Linked DNA regions of Oreochromis niloticus. The main gene of each other region encodes a partner of the protein of the gene in region 2 in a complex. Links are inferred from orthologs where the notes say so. Each region holds a gene or a part of one and is shown on either strand. Other genes may lie near its edges.

Region 1 (7,855 bases), about 7.4 Mb from region 2:
CTATGTGCTGACCAATGTTAAAGATACAGGCTGTGTCCAACTACTGCAACACTAAATACTAACTTAACACCTGAACGCTGCAGAATGTGTTTTTGTAGTATATAAAAGGATCTCAGCTGGATTTACCATTTAAAGTCACTTTGCCAGTGTTTACACACCAGCTGGGAATTAGAATGTAGTCTTCATTTGGAACGTAGTTGCAATATTATGGCCACAGCGTTTGTGTTTGCCACCTTTGTATGAGTGAAAACTCATGTACTGAGTGCTACTTTCACTTTAAAAACACTGATGAGAATAGTGAAGGGGAAAAAAGATGATAGATGGCACAGATTAAAGCTTAACGTTTTTCCACCCAATACTGACAATCAACCATCAGATTTTTAAAAAGTTCTCTCATCCATAAAAAACAAATAAACAGTTGAGGTCATGTGAAAAACTACGTCTAGTATCGCAACAAAACAAAAACAACAACAAAACCCAGCAAAAGACAATGAGTGGAAGCTAATACTGGTACCGTCCTCGCTTCCCTCCATGCCCACTGTGTCCTCCGTAATCTCCGTGTCTGCTGTGTCCTCCTTGATTCCACCCACCTCCTCTCCAACCACCTCCACCTCCTCCTCTTCCTCCCCCTCCTCCCCATCCACCTCCACCACCTCTTCCTCCTTGTCCCCAGGCTCCTCCACCTCGTCCTCCACCACCACCGCCACGTCCTCCCCAGCCACCACCTCCGCCATCTTGTCTTTTCTGCCAGGGGGGCATCTCAGGAGGCGGGGCTTCGATCTCTGAGGGACGTCCTCCTCGATCAGGTACTCTTCCCATCAAGATCTGCGAAGACAGGTTAAACAGAACATCTATGAAGAAAACGTCCAAATCGGCCTGATTATTCCGGCCGTGGGAAACGTTTGCTGCACCTTGTTGACGGCACAAGCGGTCTTCTCCCTGCTCGAGCCACTGCTGGTCTTCACCACATTGCAGAGATCTTCTCTGGCAGCCAGCAGCGCCGCTATGTCCACAGAGGACTGAGGCCTCAGAGAGTGTCTCCTAGGCTGGTAGGCTCCTGCCATGCTGTCCACCTTCACCTAAAACACAACACAACTATCTGAATGCTTTTCGCTATCCACCAAATAACCACAAAACATTCTTCAAGCAAGCAGATGTCAGTTTGAAGTGTGACTGTAAACATACCTTGGCTCTGTCTGACCACCCAAATGACTGAATCGTGACGTCGAGCCGTTTGATCAGCATCCTGCGGCGACATTCGTACTCCGACGATAGAGTTGCGTTGATGCTTTGTAATTTTTCCTGCAAGCATTAAAAAAAAAAAGGCCTGTAACAACAATACGACCAGATACATACACAGTACAGTGTAGCTATGACATTCAGCCGATCATATACATACCCACTGTTCACTACTGAGTGATTTCTTCAGCACTGGGTTTCCAACAGAGGCACCAGGAAGGGTTTTAAGCAAGTTTTCAACCTGTTAAACAAAAAAACGATCAAAGAGAGACAGTGACGTAAAAATACAGTGATTAATGTATCACACAATTTCCTCCTAATTTGCTATCTCAAGTATTAACAGCTAATGCAGGAAGAAAATGAAGGAAATGTGTTGATGTCTGTCTGTGCCACCTAATAATAATGAGCAGAGAGTGCTACACATTTAAATTACACGGTCCAGAGGGTTTTTTTAATGTGTTAATTTGATTATTTTGGAATGGGTGGGACAGTAGTTGCCTCACAGCGAGGTGGTCCTTGGTTCGACCACACCATCTCCCCAAGGCCTTTCTGTGTGGATTTTGCATGTTCTCACTGTGTCTGAGTGGGTTCTTATCTAAGGCTTCCTCCTTTTTCTGAAGAATACTTTTTTTTTTAAAGATTGCATCATGCCTTGTGTTAAAGTAGGAGGAGCAGATCTTTGTTCATTTTCTTTTTTGTTTGATTGCTTTGCAATTACCGTAAAAGAATTGCGCACACTGCTACTGCTACACATACATTTTGATCAATAAATCGAGCGTTATTCTTGCTCATCCTAAATGAAATCACGTGCAGTTCAAACAGCCTCACCTTATTTTGAAGTTGAGAGAAAACTCCTGCAGCCTCCTGTCCCTTTGGCACGGGTAGTTTCAGAGTTTCACAGATTGCTGTGAGCTCCTGGTTCACTGGACTCTGGTCTTGTTTATCAGAGACTTGCCTGCTTCTCACAATCTGGGCTGCCTGAAGCTCTGAGCTTAAAAACACTGAAAAACAGACACAAAAATTTAATCTTCCTGCTTACTTACAGTTTACAGCCCACAGAGTGGATTACACAGAATGATACATACAGACAAACTTGAGATGGTCTTTTGTTTTCTGCCCAGTGCCCTTGAGAATCCCTGAAACTTCACAGGGGCAGTGCAGCTCCCTCAGCAGACCACTCATCTCCAGCTGGAGGCTGTCCATATCATCTTGGAGGAGAAGAGCAACCAAAACAGATGTGAGCGCAAAGATTAGACACTGATTTTTAGATCAGATTAAGGTGAGAATGGATGCTGCTCACCTGGGCCTGAGGTGATGCTCTCCTCCAGGTCACACAGCGGCTTTAACCTGGCTGACAACCACTTGCAGAGGTCCACATATTCAGGCGACTGCAGGCCTCCTTCTGCGGCTCTGAGCAGCGCCTTCTCCTCAAGCAGAGGGCCGTCATAGCTACGGACCAGCACACAGCGCCAAAAGTCAAACACAGCCAGGAGTTAGACGGGGGTCTTGGCTCAACCGGCTGCTTTATTTTGATTGAAAACACGCCGCAGGACGTGGAAGCTAAACAGTTATGCTAGCAGTGACTTCGCTTACCCAAGCTGCTCTAACGAGTCCAAAATGTCACACTCCATCGCTGAAGCCGCGAGCTGTTTCACGCGCGTGTATCTACTTAAAACATAACAGCACAGGGGGCTTTAGCGTCCATTCATTTCTTTATCGTGGATATCCTCCTCCACTGTGGTCCGACCATGAAAAAGACCCGGAATGAAACGGGCGAATTTCGGAACTATGTTCCGCAAATTTGGTTCCGCCTAGTGAAAGTCCAGTTTTAGCAAAACTGTAAGTAAACCGTGTCTGTTTCCAAAATTAGAGGTATATATTTAAAGTTAAAACAATAAACTTTGTGCATTGATGTCGGAAAATAGATGACAAATACAAATGCTAATATCTAATCAGCCAATTATATGGCAGCAGCTCATGTAGGCATTTAGACCTATGACCAAATTTAGCATCAGAATGGAAGAGAAAAGTCATTTAAGGGACTTTGAACCCATGTCTAGGGTTTACAGGGAATGGTCCGAAAAAGATTATAGCTATAGATAAATGGCTCCAATCTTAACCTGGGGGTTGTCTTGTTTGTTTTTTTGTTCTTTTTTTCCACAAAAATTGGTTCTTTTATGTGCATGTAACCTTCAAGTTGAGCTCGAATCTGTACTTTTGTATGTAAAGCTCCATGTCCAGACCAGGATGCAGGGGAAATGGACGAGACTGGTTCCCCACCATCCAGTTCTTCCTGGTGTCATTCTCTCTGTATTTGGGATACACGCGCGTCTCTGACTACAAACACCACCCGGGCGACGTCCTGGTGGGACTGCTGCAGGGCCCTCTCATCGCTGTGCTCACAGTGAGTGCATTTCTGCGTCACTTTTACTGATGTTTATTATTAAAGCTGAGGATATTTAAACAATTATATAAGGGGAAAACTGAAATCCTCTATTTTAAGGTGTAGATAAACATTTTTCCACTTTTTAATCATTACTTCTGAAACCAAAGGCTGGCTGAGCAGCCTCTTCCTAAAATAAAATGGTGTGGATTGACAAGCATAAAGACCTAATGAAGGATTTTGGTGAGTTTTGCCAGCTTTCAGGTTGGCAAAGGAGTAGTGGGACCCACTGGAAACCTTAGACCAGGGGTGTCAAACTCCAGGCCTCGCGGGCTGGTGTCCTGCAGGTTTTAGATCTCACCCTGGGTCAACACACCTGAATCAAATGATTAGTTCATTACCAGGCCTCTGGAGAACTTCAAGGCATGTTGAGGAGGTGATTTAGCCATTTAAATCAGCCGTGTTGGATCAAGGACACATCTAAAACCTGCAGGACACCGGCCCTCGAGGCCTGGAGTTCGACACCTGTGCCTTAGACTGAGTATTGATCAGTCCAGTGCAGGGGTGGGCAACTCCAGGCCTTGAGTACTGGTGTCCTGCAGGTTTTAGATCTCACCCTGGGTCAACACACCTGAATCAAATGATTAGTTCATTACCAGGCCTCTGGAGAATTTCAGCATTTCATGTTGAGGAGGTAATTTAGCCATTTAAATTAGCTGTGTTGGATCAAGGACACATCTAAAACCTGCAGGACACTGGCACTCAAGGCCTGGAGTTGCCTACCCCGGTGCTAGCCTGTAAATATAGACCAAAATTGAGGCAGTTCTGAAAGTAAAAGGGGTCTAACCAGCAGTATAAAGGTGGAACTAATAAAGCGTCTGTTAAGGTTATGATAATATGAGGCAGACAACTGATTGTATCTCCATCAGCTGTTATATAACTTTTGTAAAAATTTACATTTTGTCAGAATTAGAATTGGTACACATGTGTTGTGAATTTGGTTCATGCAGGGATACAGTGGACCAAATAATTCACGTGACCAACAATATCGAAACAATCCTGTTTGTATGGCATAGCAAGTTTTGCCCAAGGTCTAAATATCAATACTGAATACCACCACAGAATTAGGGAAAGTGTAATGACTGGAGTGAAACCAGACTCCAGACCTATCAGACTTCTCAGGCTGGCTATCTTCCACTCCTGAAAGCATCTACAATGGGGCCATCAGTATCAGAACTGAACTGTCAGCCGACTAGTATGACGAAAGTGATGGCAGCTGGATGCACCAAAGGAAGCAGCCAACATGGTGGAGGCAGTGTGATGCTCTAGGGAATGTTCTGCTGGGAAACTTTATGTCCTGGCTTCCATGTGGGTGTGACCCCCTACCTAATGTTCTAGACCACTAACAACCACTTATGACAACTGCTTTTCCTGATAGTGGAAGCCTTATTCTGCAGGATAATGAGTCCGTAATTCTATCGCTATAACTGTTAATTATACTACTGCCCATCTAAGTGAGAATACACTTTTTACATCTTAGCAAGTTCCACAGAAACAATTCTGCCTTCATGGCTTCTGAGAACCAGCTCACATTTCTATTGCATACAATTACCGGCAAACATTGCTGTGAATTTTGTAGGAATTTAGAACATTGGATCTCTCAGTTGTTGATAAAGCTTTTTCTGCAGCGTCCTTTGCAACCACTGACATCGACTCAAAGTAGAGCAGCTACTCCTCTACATCAACAAGAGCCAGTTAACGTGGTTCAGACATCTGATTAGGATGCCTCCTGGGCATGTCCCACTGGGAGGAGATCCAGGACATGCTTGAGAGATTACATCTTTCAACTGGCTTGGGAACGCCTCAGTATCCTCCTGAAAGACTGGGGGAAGATGTCTGCAGAGAGTGAGGTCTGGACATTTCTGCTTTGACTGCTGACCCATCAACCCTGCCCCAGATAAGTGACAGAAGATGGATGAATCGATGGCTAGATGGGTTTGGGGCTTGAACTAGTTCTACATTTTGTGGTCCCACCTCACAACGTATAGAACCTAAAGGATCTGTTGCTGAAGTCTTGGTTCTCAATCTTCAGAGGTCTCCACCCATTTAATGTTGCGGTTCACTGAATGTATGTCTTCTTTAATTTTGTCTTCTCTATACAACATTGTATACGTTGGCTGTGATCAAGAAATCAATCAAGCGCAGGCAAAAGATTAAAACTCACCATTTTATTATGATAATGTTATTTGATATGTCAAATTACAAGTGTATGATGTAACATAAAAACAGTTACAAACATATGTATGCATATTTACATTATATTTATGAAAAGTAACAAGCTACATCTGTATAAAGAAAATACAACTATGACATGAGTTATTGGTACTATAAATTTTACAACAGATACTTGGTATTCTCGAACCATGATAATACCTAGACGTGTAGAAACCAATAAAACCAGAACAAGAGATGTTAAGATGGAAACTAGGATGGACGTGAGGCACTTTTTTGAGGTTGTCAGGATGTGAAAGCAGATGGCACTAAAAGGAAACCCAAAAAAAAAAAAAAAGATGCACAGGAAAAAGAAATGTGCACAAATAGAGAAAGTGAAAGAACGAAAAGTAAGAAAACAGGCAGTGTTTTACAGAATAGTTAAGAATAGTACCATTTATACTGCAAGTTTCAAAACACAAATGTCTTCCACTATTTAGAACTAATCACGTAAATGTTACATCGAGCGCTGTAAGATGAAAAAAAGCTTACATATAGTATCATCAGTGCATCAAAGCATCGGAGAATTGAAACATAACCACTCAACTGCTGTAAAAAGTAACCGTTTTTAAAACAATACACTGAAGAGAAACAGGTTTATATAGCTTTTTTTTCATCTTTCTTAATCTACACAATGTCAAGAATGTACACTTGTATGCATTCCCAAAGATATGCACAGTTTCCAAGATTGAAAGAGGATAAAAGACTAGCAGCAAAGTGGTTAAAACTGAAGTCTTTATATAATGCAGGTCAAAAAAATATATATATATTAAAGCGGACAGACACATGTTGCATATATAATACAGTACATGACAGGAAGTTGCACTGTGCTGGTTAATGCAGAATGAGAAGTGTTATTTCAGCATTCTCTACACTTTGTATAAATGCACGTCCTACATTTTGCTTCTCAGCCAGCAAGTTTTAATCAGGTTCATCAAACCTTGGTTCAGCTTGCAATAATGCAGGGTAATCAGATTACAATGGGAGAAAAAGACAACCAACCAAACATTTGGTTACACACACACACCAACGCACACGCGAGGCACACGCACACCGCCAACCTACCTGGAATCTAGCACGCACACACATACAAACACACATCCGTGGGCACATATAGTAACACTCTCGCACCCACACACGCACAAGTGTCCACTTCATCACACAGAGCAATCAAACATTTCAAAACTGACCGTTGTCGTTATATGCTGTTGGAGAATTAGGGTTTAACAGTCGTTCATAGCTGATTTTCTCTGTCAACACAATAAAATTAGTGATTGTATCTAGCAGCTTTATACGTATGTATGTATGTATATTTATATATATATATATTTTTATATATCAAACTTTAAAAATAAGTGGACTGCCACTACTGTACCGTGTTAGCACTATCCTTCCTTCTACCGTACAAAACTAGAGAGAAACTCTATTAGAAGCTCAATAGTCATTTCCATCACAAACGCCCTCTACTTTTCAATGTGAAATAATACTAAAAGGTGACCTATGTACAAATGCTGTCATTTCAAGCTACGGTATATGCTGACAGCAACGATAAATACAACTCTATCTTTAAAATTTTAAAGACAAAAAAAAAGAAGAAACGAAAAAAAAACTGGGATTATTATCAGTACTTAAATATAGTGTTACATATTTACAGGTGTTTGGAGTTTGGTACCAGGGGTTTGTCGTCTACCTATATATAGCGTTTAAAATGTCCCGTCTAGTCACTGACTCAGTCCGCCAAGAGGTCAATGCGTTTCCCCACATTCGAAGGTTTGCATAGAAAGTAAAGGGAGCATTGGTTAGGGAGGAATCTGGAAGATAAATTGTTCTCTTGTACTCCAAAGTGAGGTGTGGTTTCTCTCTCTCTTTTTTTTTTCCTTTTTTAAACTCAGAGTGACAGGAGGTGGGAAAACATGCATATCTGATAGTAACAGCATTTGGATGTTGTACCAAATTTGCTAT
Region 2 (7,843 bases):
CGTCTTGTTACTCGCTCACATCCGACTTAACATCTAAGAGGTTGTGCCAAGAAAACAAAGCAAACAGCTGTACTGTAAATATTTTTTATATGAATATACTTAAGTACACAAAAGATCAGATGCAGAGAAAATGCAGAGAGAAAAAAAAACACATACAAGTGACAACACAATTTGGGGGAATTTCATACTACAAATACCAGGCAAATTAAAAGGATCAACCTACAGTATGTACAATAACATTTAAAAATGGATCTTCCACAGAAATGTTTCTGCTCAACTAACCAAGATGAAAGAAATAAAACAAAATGCACACTTAGGTGATCATAAACATGTCTGTGGTTTCATCACGAGTCAGATTTCAGTTCGAAAAACTAAAAAGATCTAAAAACCTGATCATTAGAGACCTTGTCTTAAATATGTCACGTGATGACATGGCAGCATTTTATTCTTTTATTTTCTACAAAACACTGCTGCTCAAAATGTATTTTAAAAAGACTGTTTTTTCACCCAGCGCTGGTAAACGGATCCATTTTTAATGAGCAGGTCAAAAGAAGAAGAGACGTGGAGACCGGACTCATGCCTGGACTTCTGAATCTGCAGCACCTTCTGGGTCCTCGTCATTGTAGATATTTTCAGCCTGCAGACAATTGCCAAAAAAATAAAAGATTTTTAATGTAACTGCTCTTCTATGTTATAATAATAAATGCACTTTACTATTCAAATCCTCGCTGTGTTGTAACTGATCGAGTTTTCTTTACAAAGCCTTTACCATCTGCCACACTTGCATGATGTTGTCCTCTGATACTGAACAGATGACCCACGGCTCGTTGGGGTTCCAAGAGAAGTCTGAGATCTTAGCTGTGTGTCCTCCGTGGATGAACTGAAATGAAATGAAGCAGAAAGATTTAGCACAATGATCAAGATTTAGCTTAAAAAATAAAACAAAGCCAATATTTGAAAGCAACATTACAGTATTTCCCACACAAAGACTTTGGCATGCTCTTCCAGTGTGGCGGCATCTTACTGACAGACCGACTAAGCCACTGTTAAGGCATTGACCACTGCTTCTCCAGAAAAATCATGTAGCTTCCTGGACTCCAACTCTATTGTCATGGATTGCATATGGTGACAGTAGTCCTTGTACTGCTCTACAGAGCCGCTGCAAGCTACAGGGTCACTAACTACAAACTGCAGCAGGTGGAGAAGTTAGTGTGCCACAAGACATTTCTCAGGCTGCTGAGCAGAACAATGACTATCATCACCAGCTGCAGTCCATGCATTGGTGGAGCTGTAGTCCATCTGCTGGACAAGACTGTTACTGGAGAGTGTGGGTGCACAGAGCCTCTGACATCACCACAAATATGCTAATTTTGTTGAGAAAAACGGCATCATCACCACCGCTCATTGTCACAACTCACCAGCAGCTCAGGAGGGCCATCCTCAGCATCCTCTGGTGACTGCTCCTCTCCAATCTTACTAAGGTCCCAGACGTTGAGCCGCCTGTCGGTGCCGCTGGAGGCCAGGATGGTTTCGTTATGAGGAGACCACTGAACCTGTTGGGGAAAGATGTGGACATGAAACCTCTCTAATTAAGTCCCACCCTTGCAGTACTTTGGTGAAATTAGGTGAATATAATTGTAAGTATTATATCTATTGTTTAACACTTTTGGTTGTACACTTGGTACAAGCAAGTGGACAACCAAAAGTGTTAAACAATTTTCCATCACATATTTTCACAAGTTACAACGAAGTCCTACAATCCTTTTTCTCTAAAATGTTCTTCCCAAAGTTGAACACCCCCCCCCCCCACACACACACACACACACACTGTTTTCCACCAGTTTACCTCATTGTATTGACTTTGTATGCAACTGTAACTGTAAAAGCAAACAGCTTCCTGACAGTTTGTCTTTTTGTTAACTTAGTTATACCATAAATAACAATTGCATTTCATCTTTTGTAGCCACAAGCTAGTTAATCACCAGACACATATCTCAGCCTAAATAGCCTCACTACACAATGCAGTTACTGAGCTGAAACATTCAAGCTGAAGTTTACACAACAACTACAGATTTATTGCGAGGAAGTTCACTTCTTACCTGGAAGATCTCGTCCTTGTGGGATTCAAATGAGTGAAGCTTCAGCTTCAGGTTTCTCAAGTCCCAAAGAGCCACAGTCTGCAAGTAAAAGGAGGCTGATTCAGTACAGTATCAACATGCTATTCACTGTAACTGTCTGAAAGAAAGATGCCTCACCTTATCTGCAGAGCCAGTGGCAAGAATGAACTCGCTGTAAGGATTGAAAGACAGGCAGTTGACCTCAGCAGTGTGGGCATCCACTGCATGGCTAGGCTTGGAGGTGTTGTTGGACCGCGTGTCCCAACTGTTCCAAAAACAGACAAAAGCACCAGTGTCAGGAAGAAATGTGAAACTGAACAACAACTTTGTTTTAATGACATTGGCTGAGGCTGCTTACATCATCAGTTTCTGGTCATCTGCCACAGATCCAAAGAGCGATTCGTGAAGAAGGTGCCAGGAGACGTCCTCCACCACAGCAGTGTGGCCTGTGAAGATAGTCTTGGCATCCACAATCTTCCCCTCTTTGGGAACTGTGCTGATATCCCACAGGCATATAGTCTGCAAAGAGCACAGAGGAATGTTAAAAAAAAAGAAAAGAACAAATAAGTAACAAATGATTATCAAAGTGATAGAAGACAAAGAAGCATTTTTACAAGAATAAGGTAGGCATGTCAAGACAGGTTTCTTACATGGTCATCAGAAGCACTGAGGAGACAGCCACTAAGGTTTGGGTTCCATGAGAGGCCATAGCCCTCCTTCTGGTGGCCCCTCAGACGGAGATCTGGGGTGCATTCTCCAGAAGGGTCTTTAACAGAAATAATGTCACTGTTAAAAAGCCCGTAGAGCTTCAAATGTAGTAACGCATGATATGCAGTTATGCAAGAAAAAGTGTTCTTTCTGCAAACCTACCAGGCTTGGAGGGGTGCTTTGTGTAATCAAAGACTAGGACATCACTGGTGGGGGTCTTGGTGGCAATGATGCAAGGATTCTGAGGCATGTATCGGGCTCTGTTCACTTCTCCTTCATGGTTGATCTTGATCTCAATCTCTATTTTCCCACTAACAGATCCAAAGCCTCCAAACTCTGAAATAAAAAGACAACAGATACATGAAGCTCTTCCATTCCACGAAGCAGGTTTTAGGGTGACCTACGCACCAGGGATTTTTATGTATTTTTTAGACAAAAAATGCAACCCTTAAGTTACGTAGCGTCTTATATGCCCAATGTTCCTGTTAACCAGTTTTGCTCTTAATAAATATTTGATAAACATATTACAGAACTTTAAAAAAGCAATTAAAAAAGTACGTAAGCTACTATTCTACTTGTTCAGCTGACATTCACTATTGCCCTTGCTTCGCTGAATGAGGTTAAATTTGATTCATGCTGTTATAAATACGTTACTTCCTTTTCCTTCCCCTTGTGAGCAGAGTTGCCCATAGCCAACAATGGTGTTCTTTCTGCACCATCACACAATTATCAATAAGCTATATAGGAGCTGGATAGCGCTACATTAACAATGTGCAAAATTAAAACACTACTGAAATGTCCTCCAAACTCTCTGCATTCACCAGGTCTAACAACTTTTCTGGTGGAAGTGTACCAGTATTACTGTGCTAAAGTTGGATTAGATCAATTAAATTAATATCATCCAGATCCAGCTTAGGCATGTGAACTAGTCTTGTAACATAGGTTCTCAATGGACTTTTTATGCTCTCACCTCCTTTCTCGCTGTCATAGTGTGAAGCATCAAACTGGGCATCATCATTCGGCAGTTGAACGCTGGCAATTACGAGGTGATTCTGCTCATCAGAAGTATGGGTCCCCAGAACCAGCCTGTGCACACTGTAGTCCTTTCCCTCTGGTCTGTAGACATATGGCATGACATTTACGTATCTGCTACAATCTCTTGTTGTGACTTGAAGCCTGAAAAGGTGTTGCAGATCTCCCATTTACCTGGTGACATCTGGGAGCCACTGAGCAGTGAGGCTTGGCCACTCCAGAGCATGGGTCATGACCAGATCATAGAGGAAAGGGGTGTTCTTCTTCCAAATTTTATACTCCTCATTGATCACCCTTTCCTCCACAGCGTCATCAAAAGCCGCTGCAACAGTAACATTCAACACAAAGCTACGTTATAGTCAAATTTACAAACATATGCAGCAGCTACTTGAGGAAGTCTTTTCCTTGTTTTAATATCAGGACTAGCATTTTAGTTGATTTTATCAATAAAGTAACAGTAGCACACAATGCTAGAGCAGCTGTCGCCCTATAAATAAATAATACAGTCTTTCTGAAGATTATTATATTGGTGCAGTATATCAGACTGCACTGGTGAATTAAAAACCCTTTTCACCGGCGCGTTAGCAGCTAACGCTAACATCAGCTAACAGCTAGCTGAATGCTTTCTAACAATGAAAGGTGATGCTGGCTGGCGCGGCAACCACCGCCGCTACATCCTGATTCGCATTTTCTGTCACTCTTGACAGCACACACACATAAATAACGTTCTTATTAAAAAACGTAGACGTCCTTACCGTCTTTATCAGCCATTGTGTGGTTATAATACCGCTACTAATGACAAAAAGAAGTATTTTTTAGGGAGAGCGCTCAGAAGACAGCACGACGGCTCGCAATGGCGCCAACTCCATAGAACGCGCCTAGCCAATCAGAGTCGACGACAAAACCGACAGGAAGTCATTACGCGACACATTACTACATCCGGTGCTGTGCCAAAAAAAAGTAACTTCCGGTATTTGCAAACTGTAATGATAATAACAATGATAGGTAGTATTTAAGCCGTTGTGAATAAGTTGGCCATTTTTTAATGACAGCTGAAAGCCCTGTTTTGCAAGGAGGAGCTCTATAACATATACATACGCGTCTATGCTCTATAAACTCTCTAGAGGTTCCTATTGCTAGTAATTTTTACAATTTATCATTTGTTTAATTATTTCTGTTAATATATCCATTGTGTAACAATGTAAAAGCTGACGGACAAGAAGAAATGAGAAAAAAGAGCGAAGAAAAAAAATAAGTGTTCTTCTTCTTTCACGGAAGCAGTACGGCGAGTCAAGCCTGCCCGGAAATTCAAGAAGGAGAACACACGGACATGGTCTAGATAAACGTCTAGATAAACCTTTTCAACGAGCTTCTGTCTACAATGGACGATCGTGTGTTAGACTTGACAGAGGCACAGAAAGCTGTCAAATCAAAATACCCGCCGATCAACAAGAAATATGAATGTAAGTGCGACGTTATGATACTTAAAGTCGGAGCAACCGCACCAACCACGATGCTGGTGCGTTTCAGTGGAAGTCGAAATTTCCGAGTTGTCAATATTTTAAGCTGGACCGCCCCCTCATGTCACCACCAACAATCACCCCGACTATAACTGGGCTCTGTCTATAAACGTGTGGGAGCGGTGCTTTTGAACGAACGAACGAACAAACAAACAAACTGTGACATATTGTTCGCAAGGCGAAAAACAAATCCTGATTTTTCTTCCCGTTCCTACTTTGAGTTGCAGTTGAAAATTCCACGTGGGAAATGAAAACTCTGACTTCAAATGCTAATAGTTCCTTTACCATGATAAGCTATTTTTTTCCCCCTAAAGTCTAGTTTTATTTTGATTTCAGTGAGCTAAAAGGATTGCTCGTGTTAAATTTTCTCAAAATTCAAATTCAAAAAAGATCTTTAATATGTGCAGTTTTTTTTACATTTGTGTGAAAGAGATTCTATTTTTCACGAGACTATATAGTCCTGTGAAAAATTTAGTGCAACCTTACTCTTTCAGGTAAGCAGGAGGTAGGCGCTGTTAATCAAATGTACCTGATTAACTGATCACCAACAAGTGTGACCACCTATAAACAAAAACAGCAGATTTGCCAATTTCCTACTGATGTCTCCTGTACTGTGTGACAGGTTTCTAATTTTTTTGTTGTTATTAAAGTCTCACATCTGAGAACTAATGTGCACAATAGTGAGCCATCCAGTTCTTCTTTGTCAATGTTGTATGGATGTTGCCAGTCTACTTTAAATGTGTAATTATGCGTCCTTCATGTCAAGAAAACTAATCTTGAGGCTACAAACCCATCAGGTTTTACACCGATCTCTACCGTCTCTTCCCTTTATTCCTGAAGTATGACATAAAGTGGTTTTCCACCACATGCAGTCCATTTTATATATCAAAAATATCGGTCAGCTTCTTCAGTCTTTGTTTACATTTATTTATAGAAATTATATTTGTAAGGTATCTGATACATTAAAATTAGTATTATTTGCAGACCACACAAATATTTTTGTTCTGGAGGGAATCTAAAGCTTGCTGGATACAATCCAAACTGTAAGGAAGAATTTATTAGTTACCAAATAGTGGAAAGGGGGGTGGAATTAAATAAGCTTATGCTTCTTCCTACTCCTTTTTGAACATGTAAGTTATTTATAATTATTATTTTGTTTTCCTTTTGTTGTCTCTTTTTCCCCTGTTGTTGTTATACTATTTTAACATGTTCAAAATAAAGGTATATACAAATACAAACCTGCGGTGTACCTCAAGGCTCCATTATGGGTCTAATCCTGAGTTTTAAAGAGCTACCTTAAAAAAGTTAATTAAGTAGTTCTTCAAAATAAATGCTCACATAAGTACCTGGAGACATTTCAGGATTGCTGCCAGTGGCAAGGCGTTAGGACTTTAATTCAGTCAACTCATGATATTACCTCTTTTTTTTTTTTTTTTTCAGACCTGGATCACACAGCAGATGTACAGTGAGTACCTTTTTGGTATAGTAAAACCATGTTCCTCTGTTTTTTCTTACGCTTAAAAAAACCCCAAAAAACTTCTTTTTTTCTTTTCCAAGAATTCACTCTTGGGGAGGCTCTTTGGAGGAAGCCTTTGAGCAGTGTGCCATGGGCATGTTCGGCTACATGACGGACACAGAGACGGTGGAACCGACAGATACAGTTGAAGTGGAATCGGAGGGTGAGAGTCTCTCACCAAGATTTCAACAGACTTCAGTTGTACCTACTTTCTACCTGTGTCAGTCTGGCTGTTTGCAGAGCAGACCAGCTAAAATCTGTGTTTATTTTTTGTTCCTAAAAGGTGAAGACATGGAGTCGCTTCTCTTCCACTTCCTAGATGACTGGTTATACAAGTTTAGTGCAGATCTTTTCTTTATTCCTAGGGTGAGTGTCTTGGTCACTTGTGTATTACTTAACACGTACTTTAAACTTCTTTACATTGATTGATTGCATACCTGTTTTTGTTTGCAATAGCATTTGAGGCCTGAGCCTTTATAAAATAGATCAGTTTTGATATACAGTATTACTTAAATGGGTAAGTATAAAATCTTTCTATGACACAGAAATATAACATAGACTTCATAGATTTCTATGAAAGCAGGACAGAAAGCAACATGTATTGCTATCTTAACCACCTCCAAATTCAAATCAAATCAAATCAAATCAAATCAAATCACCTTTATTGTCACATCACATGTGCAGGTACACTGGTACAGTACATGCGAGTGAAATTCTTGTGTGCAAGCTTCACAAGCAACAGAGTTGTGCAAAATACAATAACGTGCAACAAGCAAAATATAAAAATGGTTAATCTAAAAGTAATAAATATATGTACCATATATAAAGGTATATACATTACTGAATGTGTGTACTAAATATGTTTTTCTACGTGTGTGTGTGTGTGTGTGTGTGTGTGAGTGTGTATATACATGTTTTACAAATGAAATAGAGTAAACAATAAAATAAGA

What was found. The genes of interacting proteins can lie anywhere in the genome.
Region 1: zbtb8os (region 2) and fam98b share a complex: the UniProt entries of both Homo sapiens proteins name them as parts of the tRNA-splicing ligase complex. The link is inferred for Oreochromis niloticus from reciprocal best matches to the Homo sapiens genes ZBTB8OS and FAM98B.

Annotation. Positions count from the first base shown.
Region 1 is NC_031983.2:15,982,716-15,990,570, forward strand, and holds the start of fam98b (protein FAM98B), read right to left. Parts: upstream 3,010-7,855; 5' UTR 2,871-3,009; coding exon 2,833-2,870; intron 2,689-2,832; coding exon 2,540-2,688; intron 2,448-2,539; coding exon 2,325-2,447; intron 2,241-2,324; coding exon 2,068-2,240; intron 1,481-2,067; coding exon 1,400-1,480; intron 1,303-1,399; coding exon 1,186-1,302; intron 1,080-1,185; coding exon 912-1,079; intron 826-911; coding exon 502-825; 3' UTR 1-501. UniProt on the Homo sapiens protein: Positively stimulates PRMT1-induced protein arginine dimethylated arginine methylation.
Region 2 is NC_031983.2:8,554,752-8,562,594, forward strand, and holds the start of zbtb8os (protein archease), read left to right. Parts: upstream 1-4,833; 5' UTR 4,834-4,983; intron 4,984-5,138; 5' UTR 5,139-5,238; coding exon 5,239-5,320; intron 5,321-6,817; coding exon 6,818-6,842; intron 6,843-6,913; coding exon 6,914-7,056; intron 7,057-7,176; coding exon 7,177-7,259; intron 7,260-7,843. Other genes in the region: histone-binding protein RBBP4, read right to left, coding at 575-637, 770-880, 1,419-1,553, 2,100-2,177, 2,256-2,382, 2,476-2,636, 2,768-2,883, 2,988-3,161 and 3 more. UniProt on the Homo sapiens protein: Component of the tRNA-splicing ligase complex required to facilitate the enzymatic turnover of catalytic subunit RTCB. Together with DDX1, acts by facilitating the guanylylation of RTCB, a key intermediate step in tRNA ligation.